Linked DNA regions of Schizosaccharomyces pombe. Changing the gene in region 2 together with the main gene of any one other region gives a genetic interaction. Each region holds a gene or a part of one and is shown on either strand. Other genes may lie near its edges.

The links.
Region 1: mutations in aph1 (region 2) and ppx1 together harm fitness more than expected from each alone (negative genetic interaction), as found in Schizosaccharomyces pombe (one large-scale study listed by BioGRID).

Annotation. Positions count from the first base shown.
Region 1 is NC_003424.3:3,944,555-3,956,378, reverse strand, and holds ppx1 (exopolyphosphatase), read right to left. Parts: upstream 9,825-11,824; 5' UTR 9,802-9,824; coding exon 9,684-9,801; exon of another isoform or gene 9,642-9,683; coding exon 8,605-9,641; 3' UTR 8,450-8,604; downstream 1-8,449. Other genes in the region: P-TEFb-associated cyclin-dependent protein kinase Lsk1, read right to left, coding at 1-27, 79-757, 824-914, 961-1,908; splicing-associated factor Saf2, read left to right, coding at 4,864-5,859; qtr2 (queuine tRNA-ribosyltransferase accessory subunit Qtrtd1/Qtr2), read left to right, coding at 6,201-6,382, 6,458-7,322; plp1 (thioredoxin domain-containing protein), read left to right, coding at 7,433-7,644, 7,689-7,841, 7,886-7,972, 8,021-8,096, 8,138-8,449; GARP complex subunit Vps54, read right to left, coding at 10,336-11,824.
Region 2 is NC_003421.2:467,645-479,440, forward strand, and holds aph1 (bis(5'-nucleosidyl)-tetraphosphatase), read right to left. Parts: upstream 2,084-11,796; 5' UTR 2,045-2,083; coding exon 1,982-2,044; exon of another isoform or gene 1,854-1,981; coding exon 1,752-1,853; exon of another isoform or gene 1,688-1,751; coding exon 1,601-1,687; exon of another isoform or gene 1,492-1,600; coding exon 1,195-1,491; 3' UTR 679-1,194; downstream 1-678. Other genes in the region: SPOM_SPCC4G3.03 (WD40/YVTN repeat-like protein), read right to left, coding at 1-195; D-3 phosphoglycerate dehydrogenase Ser3, read right to left, coding at 3,024-4,424; histone H2A-H2B chaperone Nap1, read right to left, coding at 6,746-7,927; GTPase regulator Vps3, read right to left, coding at 8,402-10,699, 10,756-10,943, 10,996-11,101, 11,156-11,220, 11,269-11,344. UniProt on the Schizosaccharomyces pombe protein: Asymmetrically hydrolyzes Ap4A to yield AMP and ATP.

The DNA.
Region 1 (11,824 bases), on a different chromosome or scaffold from region 2:
TGCCAACTTCCTTGCATGTTTTTCAAACTAAACACATAAGTTAGATAAATATCATTCAACGATAAATTTTATACTTACATGACTGCTGGCTCTGGAGGTGGGCTCTCAGAAGTGAAATACTCATGCATCAAGGTCTCATGAGCTGACGGTCTACAAAAGGGATTTAGGGCAAGGAGTTTTTGGCATAGGTCAATGGCGGCAGGACTTAAAATCTCCTTAAAAGTTTCAACAAAACGCGACTTCTTTTCCTCTACTGGCTTCAGAAGCTCATACCAAGGAAGATTTTTCACCTCAGGCCAAGAATGAACATCAGGGGTACCCATCATATCATAGATAACCTCTAACTGACTGATTTCGTCTCGCCCTTGAAAAAAAGGTTTTCCTGTAAACAACTCCATAACAATACAGCCAGCACTCCATATGTCCACGGCTGTGTCATATGCAGTTTCTCCAAGTAATAGCTCTGGAGGTCGAAACCAAAGGGTAATAACGCGATTAGTGTAGTTAGCCGACTTCGAAGATGTATTAAATCTCGCCAGACCAAAATCTGCGAATTTTAGATCACCATTGTTATTCAGTAATATATTAGAACCTTTAATGTCACGATGAAGCACCCCACGATGATGAAGATAAGCTAATGCTTCAAAAATTTGCTTCGAAAGGTGTTTTATGTTACCGGGAGTAAAATGTAATTGTGAATTTAGTAAGACTCCAGTTAAATCGTGATCCATGTACTCAAATACCATATATACAGAACCTAGAATTTTAAAATGTTAGAACTAGTTATAATTAAACGGTGAATGAGGACAGTATTTAATCGTACTTTTTTCCACCATAATTTCTAATAGCCGAACAATATTTTTGTGACGCAAACGCTGCAAGATTTTGACTTCACGGACAGTAGTTATAGGGAACTAGAAAGTTAGTCAATTTAGTTACGAGCTTGATTTTTATACTTACACCATCCTTTTCCTGCTCCAGCCTTATCCGTTTTAAAGCTACCAAATCTCCTGTGACTGTGTTAATGGCTTTGTATACTTTACCATAAGTTCCTTCTCCAATTTGGTCGATTTTCTCATAGGCAGGCTTTGGATATGTATATGTATAAATTGGGCCGGAAGGAGGAGAAGGAAGAGGAGCTGGAACAGACTCACGGGCCGTGGACGTGAGTGCCATACGTTTCGAAGGAGGTTGATCGAATCGAGATCGGCGTTCATTAGGTATATGAAAGTGAAATTTTCCATGTTTGTTCTCTGGAAAGCCAGAAGACACGCTAGATTTTTTTTGTGTATCGGAGGAAGTAGTTTCATGAGGGATAGAAGGAATAGGGGGAGGAGAAGATGAAGGTCTCCGCGATACCTTTCGACCGTTAAAAGCTGAAGGCTTCATATGTACAGAACTAGGCGGAGACCTTCGAAAAGAAGAAGCTTGCCTTTTTGAATCATTTCTGTTTGCGGACGGTGATATAGGTGAGACGGAGGCGCTAGAAGAGCTTTCAGAGCGTTTGGCAAAGTAATCCTTGGTAGTTAAATTACGTGCTCGTTTTTGACTACCTGAGCGGTAAAAGGAAGGTGATGGAGGTGAGCCAGGTCTAGGACTGAATGCCTTTTTACCCTTTCTCCTTCTAGATTTTCGAGAACGAAAAGGTCTTTCATGCTGTCTTGCTCGGGAAGAATGTGTATCGTTGAGAGGAAATGTTCTTTTCCGCTGTTCTCGAGGATCCTTCGCAGATGAGGATGGCGATATACTAGATGAATTATTTTTGAAAGCATTAGAGGACAGGGTGTGGCCTCCTAAAGACTCCTCATTTGTACCAGAAAGCTGAGACTTTTCTTCGACGGTACGCCGAAAGTGGCTATTTGGTTCTGTGCCTTGTCGGCGATAAATTGTACTCTTCGAGTATGACATTTAACAGGGTTAAAAAAAATAAAAAATAAAAAAAGGAATATTCCTAAACAATGAAGAGAATTACACGCAATCTGTGAGCGAAAATTCGATGGGAATAAAAGAAAAGAAATTAATCGTTAAAGTACGGCCAAATGTGTTTTTATGTAACAATAAATACAACTTCACCGGAAAAAAATCGTACAAGGGAAATAAAAGGTAAGCTGCCAAGACAAGCTAGTTAAATCCAGTGAAATAAATCATGCAATCTAATAAATGAAGAAAGGACAATTTTCAGAGTGGAGATTTTTTTCACCGCTAAACTATGAAGGGTGAACGTGAGACAAACCTTTTCAATCAATAGAGAAATCTAACCAGAGATTTGTGAATAAGTCGGTTGCAGAAATGTTATTGAAACGTAAATGTACAAAATATGAGTATCCACAAAATTAGGAAATACTTTTAAGTATCAACTCTTGCAGCTTAAAAAAATATACCGTAATTTTCTTTTAGTTGCACTCCTGATTTCTTTGATCTATCAATTCAAAATGTACATTGTTAAAAACACCAATTATCTCGAAATTTAATAAAGACAGAAATAAATTAGTTCTTCCTCTTCTATGACAATGAATGAAGTAGTTTGCAAGTCCACTAGTTTAATCAAGGGGCGATAGGTAAACTTCGTTGTTGGTGTGTAGTAGAAATAGAAATAAACGCGCGCGACTCAATTCCTTTACCACACCATACTTAAAATAATAAGTAATTTGAGGCTATGATGAATATCAGCTTGTTTTATAGAAATCAAAGTAAATAATGTATTTATTCAATGCTTAACTCTTAGCCATTTTCTCTTCCCCATTTGCTAAGATGGTCTTTTAACTATTAACTAAGTCCAACCAGTTATTCTCAATTCATATAATATTATTGGATTAAACCTTTTCATCTGAATTATATTAAGTTCATATTTAACATTTTAAAAAGCGATGAAGATAAATCTGGTAATCCGCATGGATCCTTGGAAATTGCCATTGGCGATAGTAAACCAAAGGAATCAAATGTCGACTAGATAAAGGCAAGTCTGAGCTTTTCTATTAGTTTTGAATCGTTTAAAATAATATTATTTATGAGAAATTAATATTCTACCATAAATTAGTGTTTTCCGTGAGTCTAAAGAATACAAAGTAAAATAATCAATAATATGCAACCCTTACATGTAAGGTAGGAGGGAATATATTATTTTACTGTATATAGAAGTTTTACATCCTTTCATAAGTATAACGTTATCACATTGGACGTTCTAGTAGAACGCCAGTCTTCAAAACATTAAAAATTCATATTCAGCCTCTCAAAATCTATTGTGTGCAAATTGTTTGCAAAGCTAAATTAATCAATAATATTTTTTTAAAAATTAAACAAAAATGCTTGGTTTTAGAAAGAACAAGGTTAGGTCAAGAGCTTCAAGATGAATAACTCATGGAATTCTGTTCCTGTTGTTTATTCAATTTTAAGAGTGATGATTTTGACATAAATTTGGTGCAATATTGTTTAAATAATAGTCTCATTAGTTAAACTAAATGTTTAAAAAAAAAAAAAATCATTGCAAAAAGCTAAATGAGCATAATTGATTTTTTATAAGTTTTTTTTTTCAAAAATGCAAACAAATAAATTAAATTTGTTTAATGAAATTAAAAAATAAAAAGGTAGATGATCGTACAAACGGCTACTACCAGTACGATATAATTTTTTATAAAAATTCCAAAACGTAAGCATAATTAATATGAAATAATAAAATATCATAGAAATTCAAGTGTACAAGGATCCTACGACCAAATGTTTGCTTTCATATGTATATATTCAATTCTAAATATTTATATAGCTTACTCAATTTGTGCAATTTTAACAAAGAAACGTGATTTTATTACAATAAATAGGTCATTAAAAAAATAAAAATTTGCACTTATATTCAATTGACTGACATACAAAACGTATTATCAGAGTTAGACTTAAATAAAATTTTCCTTATTCAACGGACATCCTATACTGGTTTCTGTGGATTTATGATATATTTGCATATGGTAAATTCAGCGAGAGAGTCCCTTGCACTCAATTATATTCACCAATAATACTTAATGAATCTTAATCGAAAAGACATGGACGTTGTGCTTTCAAATGCGAAAACCATATCTTCTTATTCAACATTTAATATGGGGTAAAAGTAGAGTACTTCTAATATCTTAAAGCAAAGCAAAAAAAATAAGCTCTTTTATTATGTTATATTTTCGTTAATAAAAATCGCTTCTTCAAACATTTATTCATCACAGGTGCGATATAAGAATCTGAGTTTGTACTCTATAGCAGCTCTTTTAGCTTTCAGTATTTAATTTATTCAAATGCTATATGCATAATTCCTTCATAGTTTGGCTATGTCTTATCGTTTCGTTTAGTATATTTACAATTCCATTTTATATGTGTTAAAGTAATTATCGAAGAAAGAAGACTATGTAGGGAGAAAGTTTATAAACTGTTAATAAATCGAATTGGTGTCAACTATTATTTAGTCTAACATCGGTAATCCACAGCAATAGCTTCAACGATATCCTTAGGCTTGAAAAAACAAAACTTTTATATAGGAGTTAAATTCACCAAATTATATTTAATTTTTTGGCCATCAATGAACAGGCCAAGTGCATTTTAATTAATGTTATATTGAATCGCACTGTGGAGCCTTAATCCATTTAAAGTAGATATAGTTAGAACTCGTGGTATTTCGCAAAGATACGTTATTCAGAAATATTAATTTTTGTTGTTAACTTGCGCCAGAGCAGCAACATATAGTGTTGCTTGTAATTACTTTAATTCAGCCATTTAGATTACATTCCAGTACTTATTTTTTGTGCTGTAAATCCCATTTATTTGTTATGTGCAATTGAATGTCCCCGGTATTTTGTATAATAATTATTTCTTCATACTGATAAAAAAATGTCGTCTTCTAAAGATTGCAAAGCTACTAGCAATGTCGATCAAACAATTCCTGCATCAAACGTGAACAGTGGTGACTTTATTTCATCGAATACGAGCAGTTCTAATAGCGAAAACTCCAATATTCAAGGAAAACATTATACCCAAGTTGGAGAGGATGCCGATAATTCATTTATTTCTGAAAATACTCCTAAAAACACTTTTGAATCAACTCAAACATATGAAAATCTGGAGAGTATTTCTAAAAATGAACCAACCTCTGAAGCATCAAAGCCCTTGTTAAATGAGTTAGTTCCTGAGGAACCATTGCCAAGGGAGCCGCCTTTACCAAATGAACCAGTTCCTGAGGAACCATTACCAGGGGAACCACCTTTACCAGATGAACCAGTTCCTGAGGAACCATTACCAGGGGAGCCACCTTTACCAAATGAACCAGTTCCTGAAACAAATTGCCATAAAGAATCTCCTTTATCTGACGAAACAGTTTCCGAAACATCAAAAAATGATACTTCTAACTCCCCTACAAATGAAAACCAAGCACAGCCTTCCATTGCTTGGTCCGAGGGTCATCGGATAGCCGCTATTTGGGACCCTTCTCAACAGGCTTACTATTTTTGGGACACTTTAACAAATACGACGAGCTGGAATAATCCGTTAGAAGATGAAGAGCAGACTAGTCCCCTAGATTACACAGCGAAAGTTCAGTTCAATCGCCTATCTGGAAAGTTTATGCCAAAATGGGCTTCACCAGAGTTGCGAAGTGAAGAAAACAAAGCACATAAGCATATGGAACAGTACTTTGACATCAATTCTTCATTGAATAGTCACAATGGCCAAAGTTTACTGGCAGAACGGAGAAACAAGCGATATACCAGGAAAGAGATGGAGCAAATGAAACGAAGAACAAAAGAGAAAAAAGAAATGAAACGAAGAGCGTTATATGACATCGCTTCAGATGAAAAGGACTTCCGCCGTCGCAAAATTATCCGTTATTAATGTTTTTATTCCATTGTTTCTTTCTTGTTTGCATGTTTTATTATTACTTTAAAACTTTAAAAAAAGTCTAAACAATTTACTATAATTTATGTAATGATATTTTTTTTTTTACTTAACTAAAAACTTTCAGTTTTGTAAGACTACTGATATCCAAACAAAGCTATTTTACAACATTATAAATCGAATGTTTAGACGACCTTTTGTGTTTGAATATCTTTCAAATTTAAAAAACATTCATATAGCAATATTCGTTTAATGTGCTACAGTGAACCATCGTTATTTTGATATCGTACATGTGTAAATAGAGCAAAACTTTTGCAGCTTTATTTTGCGATTTATTGATGGCAATTTCTTCATTATCTAGTCCTTCAGGGGCTCGCGTATCTTCAGTTACGGTGAAGAACAAGGTTCTGAAGACTCCTTGCTTTTTCCTTCCTACTTCCAGAGGAACTGTTCCTCATTTGACACCTGACAATGTTGAAGAATTCGATATTCCTGCTCTCTATGTAGGGTTGGAGGATTGGTAAGGTTTAAATTTAGGACTCAAATGCTTTATCATATCTTTTTTAATTTGAATTTCTAACTAATATGTTTGTAGCTTGGATCGTCTGGAAGCCTCACCAATCTTGACTAATGAGGGAACTATCAAAAAATGGATCGCAGCACCCTCTGTCCAACCTACTTTACTTGCTCCAAGAAGAACATCTCCTTTGCCATCTGTTTCTGCAGGACAAAGTCATATTAATATCGTTACTGCAAGTGGTGCAAAGAAACTGACAAATGACTTGTATATTAAAGCTGTCCTAAAGCTTTGTCCTGAATTAGTAATTCCTTTAAATGATACCCCAACTAGTCCTCCTGGTGTCAAAAGGAAGCCAAAAATTGTGGAACGGTCTGTCAATTGGACAACTGAGTTGCTTTTAGCACTCAAAGCGACGGACGCTTTCAATACTACTAAAGTATTTTTCCCTGTTCCTGATCTGGACACTCAGTACCTTACGCCTATTTTCCAGTTTTTTCAAGAAAATCAACTTGCTAACAACATTGCTGGCTTGGCATTTTCTAACAATGTCAATCCATTACCAGCTGATTTGGTTGGTCTCCCAAGACTGAGTATTCAAAAATTTGAATCACCACTCGAAATTCTGAAATGCATTCAAAGAGGAATTGACATTATTGTTCCAGATATGATAACACAAGCTACTGATGCTGGTGTTGCACTTACATTCTCTTTCCCGCCTCCTTCTAAAGATGTGTTGAATTCTAAAATTGAACTTGGCTTGGATATGTGGGACGAAAGGTTTGCTACTGACATGGAACCATTGCAATCCGGCTGCGTTTGCAAAACATGTCGTAGATACAAACGCGCTTATGTTAGGCATCTGTTACAGGCTAGAGAGCTAGTTGCTTGGATACTTTTACAGCTGTATGTTTATATTAAAGAGCATGGTAAAGAAAGCTAACGATTTGTAGACACAATGTTTATGCCTTCACTGCCTTTTTTCAAGGAATCCGCGCCTCCATACAAGAGGGAAACTTTGATGAAGATGTTAGAAAATTTGAAGAAATTTATATGACATCTTTTCCAGCATCCCATGGATTTGGGCCGCGTAAACGTGGTTATCAAATGGATTTGACAAACGTTCAGCCTGTAGAAAACAAGCCTGCTTGGATTTCTATGAAATCTCCTTTGGAAAAGGAAATCGCCAACGAGTATGAAGCTTTGAAGGTTACTGAAAGAAAGGAGGATACTCAGGATTACAATGAACCAGAACTGCATAATAGGTAGGTTACAGTAGCGTACATATTATGTCTAATGTTGACATTAGTAACGACCCAACAGTTGATCTTTACGCTGATACGTATGCTACTCAAGCTGCAACCGAAAGTGATTCAGAATTGGAAGATGCGCTCTTTTCACAGTTGGATGAATTTGATGATACTGCTTATCGAGAACAGAGATTGGAGATGCTAAAAAAAGAGTAAGAAAAAGCTTTAAAATGATTTTAAGAATTTAACCGTTCAGATTCGCTAGAGTGGAAGCTGCAAAAGAAAAAGGACACATGCAGTTTCTTACTGTAGAAAATGAGCGCGAAGTTATGGATTTTACGCTGTATGTCAAAACATTAGCTTCGATTATTTTAAACTAATTATTTTTTAGTTCATCAAAAAAAGTTGTTATACATTTTTACCACCCTGATTTTATACGTTGCAAAATTATAGACTCTCATCTAGAGGTACGAGGAGTTCCATTTATTGCTTACGCTAACATTCTCAGAAAATTGCCAAAGTACATTGGGAAACTAAGTTTATCCGTATTGAAGCAGCCAACGCTCCATTTTTGGTAGTCAAATTGGGTCTCAAAGTATTACCAGCCGTACTTTGCTACGTAAATTCTCAGCTCGTGGATAAGATTATCGGATTTGCTGATTTAGGTAATAAAGATGATTTTGAAACTTCACTCCTAGAATTTCGGTTGCTCAAGAGTTCAGCAATCGACCGATTAAAAGAAGAGAGTTCTTCAAACAAGTCTATTTACCACGATGAACTACAAAATAATCAATCAGATGACAGTGATTTTTTTGAATAAAAGGATCTTGGGATTACAAAGTAAGAAATTTAGATCAATGTGATGTATAATATATATCCTTTTAAAAAAATTTAAAATCTATCATAAGCCTACTGATGAGTGTAGCTATCGTAAAATGTACAGAACAGAAATCACAATGGAGTCTAAAGCAGTAACTATTTTGAAGCGACTTGTTTAACTGAGTCCATAAGTAAGGGAACTACTTTCTTTCTGCTAGCAGCGGAATTTCTTTGATTCCACATACTGAGGTCGCCATTATCTTTCTCTTCAATAATTTCTAATCCTAAATTTTGTTTGCTAAGTTTTAAGAAAGAATCGGCAAGACCAGCTCCCCTTTCAGTACGCTTGTATAAAATCAATTGACGACCAAACTCGTCGTTCTTACTCAGAGATAACCCAACAATTACCAAATCAGAATTTTGCACTTCGGCAAAACTTTTCAATTCATCTTCCCATCCGAGACGTTTTTTCTTGATCCAATCTAATCCCTTTCCAACACTGGCATAATTGACGACTATTCCGTCCGGAAAATACTGTTTTAAATCCCTGCGTAGTAGATCATCAAAAGAAAAACCCTTACAGCTCTTCTTTTTCTCTTTCAGAGTATCAAAAAACTCATCTCGAACCCAATCTTTTGGCACAAATGAGCATAAGTCATTTACTATTTTAACATCGGTATCAGTAGTCTTTTCATTTTTTAAATTTCCAGTATCAATTAAAATAGGGCCAAGTGCCAAAACAGCAAGGTTGGTTGCTGTTTGGTGAAGTTCAGATACTTTGGAATCATATAGAGATCTAATGACAGGCATAAAATATCGGCAAACTAAAGTACAGCAGCTACCGCATTCCTCAATGATTCTTGGATCAGCATGTAAGGATCCCCCTTCATCTTTGTGGTGATCTATAATACCAGCGATACTGCCGTTGAAATTTTCTAGGTCTTTACGGTCCAAAGAATTGTGATCAACTAAATAAATAGGATTACTGAATATTCTTTTTGGTAATTTTACAATATCATCTAAAAAGACAATATCATCGGAAGATATTGATGCTAAGTTCAACAAATAAGACAGTTCAGGCCTAAGACGTAGCTCCTTTCGAGGAATGTTAAAAAAAGGTACTACAATCCTACCCAGCTGTTTTCTTTGCAGGCAATACGCATATACGATTGAACTAGCGCAACTGTCAAGATCTAAGACGAATTGTTAATTCTCGTCTATTACGACTAATGTACCTGCTGATTCATTTCCACTAACAAAGCTAAAAGACGGGGCAGACGATACAGTCGAAGCATTTAAGAGGAGATTTCGTATTTGCTCCCTTCCGTTTTCTAAAAATCTGCCTAATTTCATTGTACCAAAAGATTGAAAAGGTTACTTCAGGCTTTAGGTGCAAGCCAATATATCTAATCTATTACTACCAAAGTAACAAGTTACTCAATATAGCAAGGAATTTGACTGATACACTTAAATCAATTATGAGTATTTTCATAAGGAATTGAATAAAGGTGATAAAAACAATAATAAATGAGAGAAGATGAAAAGAAATTAAATCGGTCGAAAACATTACGCTCCCATGAGATTTCCGAATTAAATGAGTAATACTCTAAATCAAAACTGGCCGATTAGTAGTCATAAGTGAATTTGTATTCGTCATTGTGAATACTAGAACTATCGATAGAATGGAGAATTTTATAGAGAAGCTGCTTGGTTCATAACTTGCAACAAAATTTTTGGATTCTTAGAATTCATTCAGGTTAGTAAATTGTTAAACCAAAATGTAAAATTCCAAAGAATATGACGGTAACTCGAGCACAAAAGCAGATAACCAAAATACCTGTCAAGAAAAGAACTAAAATAGATTACAAAAAACGACGAAACAAATGTTTAAGCCGCTTCCTGCTGTTCCGGAGTACGTTCAAATTTTTCCAATAAAGTCCGGTCTCCTGCATATCCGCATTTAGATGCCATCATGTCATAAAAATAGGACAAATCAATACGAACGCCTGGCCATTTGGATGGATTTCTTGCAATATCCGTAAGTTCCAACTGCAGTCTATCTTCGAACATCCGAATTACATCTGGTATTACTTCTACACAGTCACGTTGTGAGTAGCGATGTAAAACTTTGTAGAGCTTTATAAGACTTTTTGAAAGATCAATAATGTATCCATGAGGACTGTCAATATCCCACGAAAGAGAAGCAATCTGGGAACAACTGATAGCAACTCGTTCCCTCATGAGACTAACAAACTTATCATGAATTTGTAAGTGATGAACGGTGAAATCTTGATCCAACTTATTAGTTTCATTGGTGAGTCGAGTTCCTGTTACTCTTGACAAGTACCTGCACATTGAATTAAGGGATAATTGAAACAATGCGATAGTTTGAGAGGCAAGTGCAATATGCTTCCCAAGTACTTTACTAAGGCCAGACGACCGCACTGTCCCCGCTCCCAATATTAATTGATAAACCCGAGAATTGAGTGTACGAAACATATCTAGCATACCAGTCTGAAACTCTGGAGCCAATCTTGAAAAGTGAGCAAGAAGTTTACCATAATCATCCAATGTTTCTAACAACGTAACAGAGGACCGAACAATATGTAATGATTGTTTTCCAAACGAAACCGTAGCAGTACAGTCCTCTGAAACTTTTACATGGTGAACCCTATGATTTTCATCTTCTTTTTCTGCTTCAGGAGATAATAGTCGCGTCCATTCTACGGGAGTATTACCGGAGCATTCAAACACGCGATTAGCTAGATCTTGACAGGATGGTTCAACAGGTATCGCTTCCCATAGCTCCCTTTCAAAGCTTGATGCCAATTTCTGAGTAGAATATCGTTGAAAATTTTTAAACCAGTCCAGTAATTGCCTCATTATAGTTGGAATAAATGAGCTTTGTGTGATTCCGCAAAGACTTTCAAGCTCATTATGAAAAATTATGTGTAAAGAAAAAAGGTATATAACATTATTAGGAGGATAAGTATCCAAGACTCGAAATCGAAGATTATTAATAGTTGTCACTTGTTGTGTAACAACATCGGAACTCGTGGCCATTAAATCATTAAGAATCACAGATAGGTGATATTGTTTAGTATCTTTTTTCGATAAAATATCTATTAAAACTTTTATTTGGCTGCGAATGCGACGCAGACATTCCAATGATGAAAAATATATATTCGTCAACATTTCTGCAAATTCCGTGATGCTCATGCTCTGAAAAGGATTCGCCGCTGATGAACTTCTTCTAGAGCTATCTGAAAGACTAGAAAGGCTGGCTGCACTCAAGCTGCGACGTAAATCAGAGGATTTACGAACACTGCGCATCTCTACACCATCGGTAAAATACTGTTGTGCTAAATTTTCAAAT
Region 2 (11,796 bases):
CTCCGAATTTGGGTATATTTTCCAAACAAATACGCTGTTGGTATAGTAGATTGGATTGGACTCTTCGCCGGTATTTTGAGTAGAAATGAGGTTTTTCAACTGCCAATGATTTGAACAAACACGAGCAGGATGTTGTTTAGGAGTCACATTCCTTAAACACAGGCTGGAGTTGGAGCACCTATTGTCCACCGTCATCCCGGTTTTGAAGCGTAAACGCGTAGACACGCTCACTTTGAAGAACAAGAGAAATCAAATAAACCAAAAAAAAAAAAACACTCCTTAAAGAATGTTTTATTTCCTTATTAAAATAGCCAAATCAGACGAAACGTGTCTCAACTGTAAGGCCTTATGCACACAAAAAGTAGAATAATTAGGTAAATATCAGAAATAATTTAGAAGGCGAAAATTAGATTCAATTCACAATGTAACACTTCCTGTAGAAATAAATTGAGTCAAGAATCAATTTAGAATAAAAATTACGCAAGCCGTTTCTAAATTGAAAGAATTGTCTGCAAGTAAGATGAATCGTGGATAACAAACTATACGATTCAACAATTAACAAGGATAGGTTTCAAAAGAGTTTGGTTAAGGAATAAAAAGGAAAACGTAGATACTTTTATAAATGTAAAATATTGGCGAAATGGAAGAATTGGAGAAATTGAGGCTGTAAGAAATTTCAATTATAACTACTGGGGCAACATTGATGAGGGTGACGGGTTGATGACAACAACTATTATGAATTGCAACGAACTACCAAAAAAAAATAAGGAAACGTTAAATTATGATAAAAGAAATTTTGAGATAATGGCGAGCAAAGAGCACTAAAGTAGTTTAGGGTGTTATTAAAGTATGATTATTTACAATTGCGACGTATAAAGTGGATTAGCGTATTCAATTCTTGAATTCAAAAAGATGGATATCTAGTAGGGTTATGAGGAAAGGATGAAAGAAAGAGAGCAAAATCAAAATAGGGAACTGAAGCTAATTCGATCGAATTGTAGAAGGGTTCATCACAATATGTATGGTTACGTTGTGTTGCTAAAGCTCAGCAGACAGATGCAATGTAAGCAGGGTAGAGAGAAAAAAGGAAATTTTTCTTGTAACCTTGGGTGAAATAAAAAAAAAGGGTCATATAATATTTAGCTTAATTCATACGTAAACACTACCCCTGTGGTATTGAGGTACTTCAACTTTTTATTCCTTCTCTTGCTCTTCGGAAAAGTACCCTTTCAACCACTGAGCTTCCTTTTCCATTTCCTCAAGTGTTCTTGGCTTACGATCCTCGTCCTTAGGAATAGCTTGCCTCATACTGGTTGGCGGTCTCTCATCTCCTGCATACCGCTCATTTCCCGTAAGATAAAGGGAAGCAAGATTTCCTTCGTTTTTTTCCAACTCACTGTAGACTAGATCGTTTTCTGAAAAATCTGCCTTTTTACGAGGGATAATGTGAACATGTACATGAGGAACTGTTTGACCAGCGTCTACACCATCCTATTGAGTTAAAAGCAAAATGTCAGCTTCTAAATTAAAACGATTTTTTATTTTGAATGTGAAAAGGAATATGTTTTTTTATTTATTCCTTGACTATCAAAGTACTTACTTGAATACCAATGTTTGATGCAGATGCCGAAAACACCTTTTCGATTACCTGTTGCACTTTGCGAACAGAAGTAAACAAATCCGTCAACTAAGTTTTCATTAGTTAGCGTATGCAGATTCCATTATTTTTTCGAATAGCATAAGAATCCTACCTCTGAAGGTGTCAAATCTTTCAATCTAGGGACCGCCCGTTGCGGAATTACCAAAACATGACCTGGTAAAATTGGTTTCAGGTTTACAAACGCGGCAGATAACTAAAATCGTTAGCAGCTGACCTCAACCAAAGAAAAATCACAAACTGTCTGCCGTTATAGAATAAATAAGAATGACAAACAAAAGTTTGCAAACACCAATATCTACACACATGAGACCGTTAACTTACCTTAGTACGATAAAAAACTTGACTTCCAACAGGAAACTTGGAGAAATATAGCTGTTTTGGCATTCTGGCTTACGAATATTGTAAGAATCTAAGTTGTTGGTTGAATTCAGCTTCACGATGCTCACAACCCATATCGCGGAGTCCCTGGAGAGTCATGTGCGAAAGTGTCTATGGAATATAATAAGAAAGATTGATATACTTAAAAAACAAACAGACTATGAGAAAATAGCGTCTTGCATATATGTAAGTAACAGTATCATGGAACAGATAAAGCGGACTAAAAATTCCAATATTATCGAATTTTATTATTCGTATGCACACAAGTTTCAAACGGTATCGAAACCACTAATTACTTTCCAAAAAATTGCACTACGGCACTTTTGTTTATATTGTTTTTACCATATCCAATCATGCAGGATACTGATTGAATATCAGCACTTACAATAGTTATTCATAAGAGCATTAAAAATTTTATTGAATCATAAACCGGACCAACTATTTACGAGTTGACACTTGTTTTTACCATCAAACAGGCAAAACAGGTGAAATCTAAGTTAGTCCTTTATTAAAGATACATCAAATATGTTAAGGTCATATTCAATACTAAATCAATGTAAGCCATCAGTTGAAGGATGACATAACATTAATTCATTGTTGAGTGATAAATAATCGTGTTTAAATATAATCTCACACGAACCGTTGAAGAAGTGTAACTCACCCACCTATGTCTATTATGAAGACAATTTAAAATATGCATGCAGATTGAACTAGATCAGAAAGAAATGGAAAATGCTTTTAAAAACCCCTGCATCATGAACAGACAGAATGAAAGGGTAACCAGAGACAGAAAAAAGATTAAGTGTCATCAATCTTCTCTCTCTTCTCTGAGAAAGAAAAATGCGAATATACTCGACCCACAAGTTTTTAAGGATAAATCTAAAAAAAAGCTTTTTCAGATGAATGATTATGTATAATTTATTTAGTAATTATAACGGATTTTGTTAGTATTTCTCTTTTTTTTTGGTGAAACACAATCTGCTTCTTAATAAAGTAAACGAGTGTTAATCTTGCAAGGTAAAGATTCCAACTTTTGGTGCAAGGCCTCCAAAGAACCAGGAGTACAGTCGCTAATATCAGCAACCAAGTAAGCAATGTCACCACGAGAATCGGAGAATTGAGACTTGATGTTGTGGTCGATAAAAAGCTCGTTAACTTGGCGAAGAACACCAGGCACATTTCTGTGGACAAACAAGACACGAGCAGCATTTCTATCAGCCTCGGTAAGGCTGCGCAAAGAGACCTCAGGGAAGTTAACAGCACCGATACTGTTTCCTTCATTAATGTAACGAGTAAGAGCCTCACTGACCTCAATACCAATGTTATATTGAGCCTCCTCGGTACTACCACCAATGTGAGGAGTCAAAATAATGTTCTTGCAATGGGTCAATTCAGAAGTCCAAGAGTTGAGTGAGTCAACGAACTTGTCCTTACCGTTACCAGCAGGCTCGGATGGGTAAACATCAATGGCGGCACCAGCAATTTTACCAGACTTGCTAGCATCAACGAGAGCGGGAATGTCAACGACAGTACCACGGGAGGCATTGATCAAGTAGCTACCCTCCTTCATGGCGGCAAATTCCTTGGAGGAAATCATATTCTTTGTTTCTGGAGAAGCAGGAACGTGTAAAGAAACAAAGTCAGCACGGTGAAGGAGTTCAGGGAGAGAAGAGAGCTGCTTGGCGGAACCCAAAGGCATGATAGGGAGAATATCGTAATAAACGACGTGTAAACCCATGGCTTCAGCGAGAACAGAAAGTTGGGATCCAATATGACCATAACCAATGATGCCCAAGGTCTTACCACGGATCTCCCAGCATCCACTGGACACCTTGTTCCACTCACCACGGTGCAATTCCAAGGAGCGATCGCCCACTTGACGAGCCAAGCTAATGATATAGCCGATGACCAATTCAGCAACGGAACGAGAGTTGGCGTATGGAGAGTTGAAGACGGCGATACCACGTTCGGCAGCAAAGTCCAAATCGACTTGGTTAGTACCGATACAGAAGCAACCGATGACAATTAAACTGTCGGCAGCCTCCAAGACACGACGAGTCAAGCGGGTCTTAGAACGAATGCCAATAGCATGAACGCCCTTGATCTTCTCAACCAAATCGTCCTCGCTCATAGAAGTTTTCAAGAACTCAACCTGGTAGCCCTCATCCTTCAAGTTGCTCAAAGCTGATTGATTAACGTTTTCCAACAGCAAAATCTTGATGTCTTCGGAAGCGAATGGCTTCAAAGTACGAGCAGGAGCTTGGGAGTAAGACTTGCGTACCTGGAAGTGATTCGAGAGGAAGGATGAATTATTATCAGGGGGAGACAAAGATAATTTGTTCAAACTATCCTCGACATTACCACGACGACCGCCTTTAATATCCATACTTTAAAGAATCAAAAAAAGAAAAGAGAAAAAATTTAAAAAAAAAATATCTGTAATGTAAAGATACAAGCCAAATCCACCTAAAAAATGAATGAGATGAGATGACAAAAATCAAAAGGAACTTTAGTCAATCCAACGCTTTTTCAAAAAGCTAAATTTCGTTGTTGAGCTAGTAACCGAAGTCTTCGACGTTGGTAGAGGAAGGAACGAAGGATGTAGGTAGAAGGAAAAATTTTCACCAGCAAAACTATAACCCAACAAATGAGTGCAGACGAGACACACTATATATAACGGATGATTAGGTCACCACTATAATGAATTGCGACTTTGATGGATTCGTGATTGAAATCGATCATACCATTGAAATTGATGGATGTTGATTAAACGGGTTGAACGGTCACGGGAAAGATGAAAAAAAAAACATTAGATGAGAAAAAAATAAAGACAAATTTGTAATAGCAAGCAGGTACGAGAATTGGGCTTGAGAGAAAGAAAATATAAAATAAAAAAATTGAATATAGAAGAAAAAGGTATAATCAGAAATAAATTCAAAATTTTAAGCAAGAAATCGTAAAAAATGAAATTTTCAACTAGAAATGTTTTTCTTTTTCCGTTTTTTTTTAGTGTACAACTTGCTGTTTTTAGAGGAATATTCATTATTACTTACTATTTACTAGTATTTGCTTTCTTTACTAGTATTTAATTATTAAAAAATTGTGTTTTTATTTTTGTATCCCAACTAATTTATTTATTTATTCTTTCTTTCTTTTTTATTTACTATAACTTGTGTGTTTTCCCTACTTTAAAATTATTTGTTTCCTTTAGTAGTAGCTAGCTGGATTTTATTTCTTTGTACCTTTGATAGATCATTTGTAGAATCCATTTTATTAAAACTTACGAGGAAAAATAATAAATCAAACAAATCTGATATATCACATGAGCTTAGTTAAATTTGAATTGACTTTCAGTGTTTTGAGTCCACCAAATTGCTGCAACAATATTATACAACTAAACGCATTCCATCAAATTGGACGCTGTTTTATTTAGGACCTTTGCATTATATACTAAAAACATTCTTAAGTTGCAAATGAATATAAAGAATTTTCAATATAAAAATTGCCAAAAATTTTCGACACCAGCAGGATTTGAACCTGCGCGCGGAGACCGCAACAGATTTCTAGTCTGTCCCTTTAACCACTCAGGCATAGTGTCTAAGTCGAAAATTATAAAAGCTATAATATATTTAAGGCAAGTATTAAAATTAAAATATTAGATGTTGTAAGAGATATGTCAAATATGCTTTAAATTTAGACTAAGATAAATTGTAGTATGCAATCCTCCATCCCAATTGTAATCATCTCCATTATTTGATGATTCTAACTTTAAAAAACAAAACTGGTATCTGTTAAACGCTAGACGAACTTACTATAACAACCGAACACTCTTTTACAATGCGCTCCGCATTTTTTTAGTTTCCTTCTTACTCCAAGAATTGCAAGCTTCTTTATGTCTAAAAAAACGAAAAAAAAACAAATCGTATTTTTGATAAACTTTGACACTCATTTCTTTCGAAATAGCCTTTTATGTAAACACATCGGGTTTAGTTATACCTTCCCAACTTCTTGGGTAGAGTAGACTAACTAGGATGCAACCCATTCATACTATGAATTCTCAATTGCTTACTTCTAAGTCAAAACAAAGCATTATTTTCTAGAAAAGCTCGTAAAAAGGGTTCTCTTTTTTAAGCTTTACTAAAGGTCAATTTTTACAGTCAGTGTTTTCAACTTGGTCTAAACTAACAATAAAAAACTATCACTAGTTCTTTTCGCAAGCATTTGATTGAAAAAAAAGGCAAGAAAATATTAAAACGTCCAAGTTTGTCCGAGCGTTTTCATCATGATTGATCAAATATAAGCATTCCAAAATCTTTAAAGGCTTTCGTACTCAAACTAGAAACTCGGAAAATTCGCCAAGAACGATCACACCTCCCATTATGTAGACGATGTCGTTTAGGTCTTTTAAAGCCATTCATCTCAAAACCACCAATTCCAGTAAAAAATAAAACACGTCGACTGTAAGCATTTTTATTTGATAAACGAAAAAAACTCGATAAATTGGAAGATATTTAAAAACTTTATAAACTTGCAGAATCTCGTCCGCAAGCACTCACATGTGGTCCGAACCTATCCTGTACAACAAAAGGTTTACAAATGTTGCATGAAAACCTCAAGAATCATACTTTTCAAGTATCTTTCCTTTAGTCAAAACACAGAAAACCCATTGTTATTAACCCCATAATATATGCACATTATCGAAATTGTTTATTGCTGACGGCACTCAGCAGCGTTTTGCTGGCCATGAGCAGTGTGCTTGCTATCACTGTCCTCCTCATCGGAATCGGAAACTTCTTCGTTAGAAGAGGATTCAACATCATCTTCATCCTCTTCAACATCTAAGTCGCTGAATCCGTCATAGTTTTCAAGAGCTAAAGCCTCACCAGTAAACCACTCAACGGCACGAGGAATGAGTTTCTCTTTGAAGTCCTCACCGATTTGATAGTCAAGTTCCAACAATTCATCCAATTCAGGGCTCTCCGATTCTTCGTCTTCCTCAGATGGAGGAGTTGGGGGATTAAAAAAGTTGAAGAAACTGTCACGAGGAACGGAAACCTTTACGACACGAGTTTGTTTAGTGTTTTTATTGCGTTGCTTTTTAGTAACGGTACGAACAGTCAAATCGGCATTTTCTTTCCAATCAACCTTATCGCCCTCAGCATGATCATACAAGAAAACGTTGGACGGGCCAGATTCCTCCATGTAATAATAAGTTTTGGTGAGAATCTTGTTAGTAAAGAATGGGTTTTCAGCAAATTCAAATTCTAATTTGAAACCAGGCTTTTCCATATAGGAAATGCGAATATCCACAAGGTGACTTAAAGCTCCTTCATCTTCGGGAGTAATCATTTCAGACAAAGACAAAACATTCTTCATAGCGGTCAACCAGAACTCAGGAATACCCTTAGTATCATCACCACCTTCTTGTTTCTTAGACTCAGAAGAAGTAGGTTCTTTCTTTTCGTTCTCATCGGCAGCTTCACCCTTCTTAATTTCCTCCTCGGTAGGTTCGTCAGCGCCACGAACAACCTCAGATCTTCTCTTAAAAATAGGTGCGTACTTCTTTGCATAAGCTTTTTCCAACTCAAACAGCTCTTTTTGGAATTGAGACTCCAAGTCGCTGTATCGCTTTTGCAAACCACGAAGTCCAGAAATCCTTCTTTGCACGGCTTCAGGCAATTCTGAAACTCCTTCTGAAGTGAGATGTAATAAAGAACCCAATTTTCCGTCGATAGCCTCTAAATTCTCATCTCCTTCGTCAATAGTATTTACTTGAGGAGCCTTCGCACCAAAGTTGGGAGCGCTCGTCCCCGATGGGGTGTTATGGGGAGTTGGGGCGGCAGACATTTTTCCGGCCCTTTTGTTATTAATATTAACGTTCTCTACCATATTAATTCTACTTGTTCCAGCAATCAATTATGCTTCAGACGCTTTCCGTACGTCCTTTTAATAACACTGGGAAGGGTAGTGGTAGAAGCTAAGTGTAAGAATATTTGCTGCACCCTGGGAATCTACCTACCCGCGGAACTTCCGAGCTCATCCTCGGGGTTTCCGACCTTAGTGAACAGTGCATCGTTGTGTTACGGACACTTTCTTTATTCCCGAAGGGGGTTTTTAAAAATAAAATTCGATGAATTTAGGCTCATAGTTAATATTATTTATATTTTTAAGACTAGTAAAGATCAGGAAGAGCTGAATTAACTGTAGAAGAAAGCCCTTTATATTCTAACAACATTTTGAAGCTAGAATCTTTTTGTCTCATTGAAATTATTCTATCATTAAATTAAACATCAGTCGAATAAGTATCGAAAATTGAGGTAAAAACTTTGCTGAACCAAAGGTTACTTTTTAAATGTTACTGGGTTAAATTTCGTTTTTGCCCAAGGCTACATTACGACGATTAATAGCCATGAACAACTCTTCCAAATTTTGAGACAACGACTTCTCAAGTGTTAAACGAGTTTGGGATTCATTCAAACGCTCAGCATTTCTTTTTTGCAATATACACAAAAAATCTGCTAATAAGTTAAGATTCCAATGATCTGGAATTTGCTCGCACACGTAGGAAAGCGTATAAGAAAAGGGTCGACGATACAATAGTTCTTTAATAAAATCACTACATCCATCTCCTGTTGATATACATTTTTCGAGCAAATTGCACCAACACTGAGGATAAACATCATCAATTTGAAGACAGTATGCTTCACCGCCCTTATAGTCATGAATATTCGTAACCAAAACGGATAAAGCTTTTTCATAATTCTTCTTCCTTTTGTAAAACGAGTGTTCAAGTTGAGGAAATAGATATAAATTGTCAACATGAATGTCGAACAAAATATCTTTTATTTTATCTATAGATTCTTCTTCAACATTTTCCATCAGATTAATAGAACACAAATAGTAAAATGAAAGATGAGTACTGAAATCACTCATGTCCCCCCAAAGTTGTTCCAAGTATTGGGCATACGTAGGTTTCTCCATGCAAGGAAGCTCCCTAAATGTTTCAATGGCAGTCTCAAGGCGATTTTTAAAATCGTTATGATCCAATAAACTGCCAAGCAACTTATTAACGCACAACTTTAAAAGTAGCGCTCGATGAGTGACGGAATTCGACTTTACAAGGTAATCAATCAAAACATCATCTTGAGAAGAATCCAAATGCTCTAACACGTCCTCTGCAGAAATGGATCCACTAACTGTTTTGTCAAGCAAAACGCGCGTACCCTCCGTTGCATCGTGTTTACAAAGCCATGTAGTAAATTCCCAGAATGTCGAAGGCTCAATATCATTAACCAAATATTCTCGTATTTTAATTAACCCATCGTTGAATCTCCGATCTTCATAATCCCCTGTTATTAATTTCTTCCAAGTTTGAAGAACACCATCGTGATCCCTTACAGTAGCCAATAACACGGAGAGTAAATAATACTCTTTCTTCTGTATCAACACATCTTTTATATCTTCAACACCAGTTAGACCAGACTCTAACAACTCCTTAGCATTTTTGGTACCGGCGGCTAAATCATCCATATTTAAATAAAGGAGTAATAACGAATGCTCTACAGCAAGCATCACGTCTCTTTGCGAAGATAAAAGATACTCAGATATGCTCGTGTTCTTTTTGTAATTTTTCAGATAACGCATCAACATGATGTATGCGTTTTCCTTAGTAATTTCAATCATTTGTCTCTGAGTGTATTGATCAGTATCACGAAACAATTCATTAGATTTTAAAACATTAGCAACAGTATCATCGACGGACAATATGCTTTTGCGAAAACTAATGACACCTTGAAAAGCAATATAGGAAAGCTCCGAATGATAGAGATCTGGATAGAGGGAGATAACTACGCGAGGATCAATTTTGGAAGTTTCAAGCAAAGAGAGAGAATTTTCATACTGTCCTTGCTTCCAATACTGTAATGCCGAGATTTGCTCCAAATAAGCAGATTGAAGATAAGCGACATCATTGGTTATTCCATACTTCTTCGGATTCCGCAATCGCTTACTCACTCGACGCAGAGGGGCTTCAATATCGCCTATGGTAATACTGAATTCTAGTTTGTTCATAAAATGAGCTTCAGCGCCAAACCCCCAAGATTTATTCGTAAGAAAAATAAATGAAGGCTTGCTAAAAGAAGCCCTTTCTATCGTATCAGAAGTTTTTGAGGTAGACGCAGTATTCACAGCAGAGAATTTACTAAATATTTGGCGATCACAAAAATGAACGCTTGTCAATCGAGAAATAAAAGAGAAACTTTCATCATCCTTCAGATTAATACTTTTAACAAGACTGAGAGTATTTATGTCGATGATCTGTAACGAACTAGAAGAAATGGCGAACACATAATGAGATGTAGAAAAAACATGTTTTGGATAAAATGAAAAAGTTAGAGTGCTTCTTGTGACATTCCCTTGGGAATCTACAAAAAGCCCTATGGCATCTTTGGGACTACCGGTAATCAAGAGAAATTCATTAGAATGCAAAACAATCATGGGTTTGTACATTAGCCCATTATTTTCCGAATCGTATTTGATAATGGGAAAGAGGGGAGTAGTATCAAAGGTGAGAATATCCAATAATTCAAAGGAATTTTCGGTAACTAGACAAACGATATGACCATTCACACGAGCAGTTTGAATATTGGGGTATTTAAGTTCCTTGTTTATTGTTAATTAGCGCTTTTATGAAGTAAACAATTTAGCATCTAACATACATTTTTGACTAGTATGATTCCATCTTTTTGAAATGAGATGAGCTTTAAATGAGTATTGGTCACAATTAAATATGTGCTTTTCTCGTCAATACGTTGGCCTGGATGACAGAATTCCACCAAGCCTTTAAAGGAGATGGAAGGGTAAAGCTGAGTCAAATCATCTTCCTTGTATACTTCTGCGAAACTACCTACCACCGTTAATTGGTATTCCAAAGTTATCGTAAACCACACATAGCTTACCATGATGAATAAAAACTGCGCCAAGAAAAGGCATTGCAAGAATTCGGTTTACACGAGATTTCGACACCAACGAAATCTTCTTTACAAGCTCTGGTGATTCATTTAACTAATACGCGTGTTAATGCAAACAACCCTGTGCAACACACGAATAAACACAAACCTGGAAATTTGAAAAATTATAGAGGAATACATCACCACCTTCCGTTCCAAAGTATAGATGGTTATCTAAAAAAATCAAATAGTTAGCAATATAGCCCCGGATGCTTGCCTTACTATAGAGCGCAATGGTAGTTACAGGGGAATCCAATTCTTTAGGAATTGCTGACTCATGCAGCTCAATATCAGACATTTGTAAATTTTGAATTAATGAAAAGATTCATTAAACAATTATATTCATGAAAAAGCCCTTTGTAAGTGTATCTGTTGCGTTAATATGGTTACTTTCAATATGAGTAGATCTGGGTAGCGTGTAACCCATAGTAAACGAAATGTTATGATATAGAAAGAAAGTAAATTTAGAATTTCTGCTAATTTAAATAAAAATTAGATTCTATTACAAAACTAACTATTCAAATACGTGGAATCCTTATAGGAGATTCTCTTCCAATCTTAATCCATAGTAATTCTAAGTTAACTTGCAAGCATCCTGGGAGTTATAGCAATTTGAGATAGCCTCACAGAGTGAAATAGCAGGAACTATAATAATTGCACACAGAAGTGATTGTATGTTTGTTGACTGACTTAATTTCAAGTCTCTTCGAAAATTAATTGACTGAATAATTTGATAGCTGATCTAAAAAG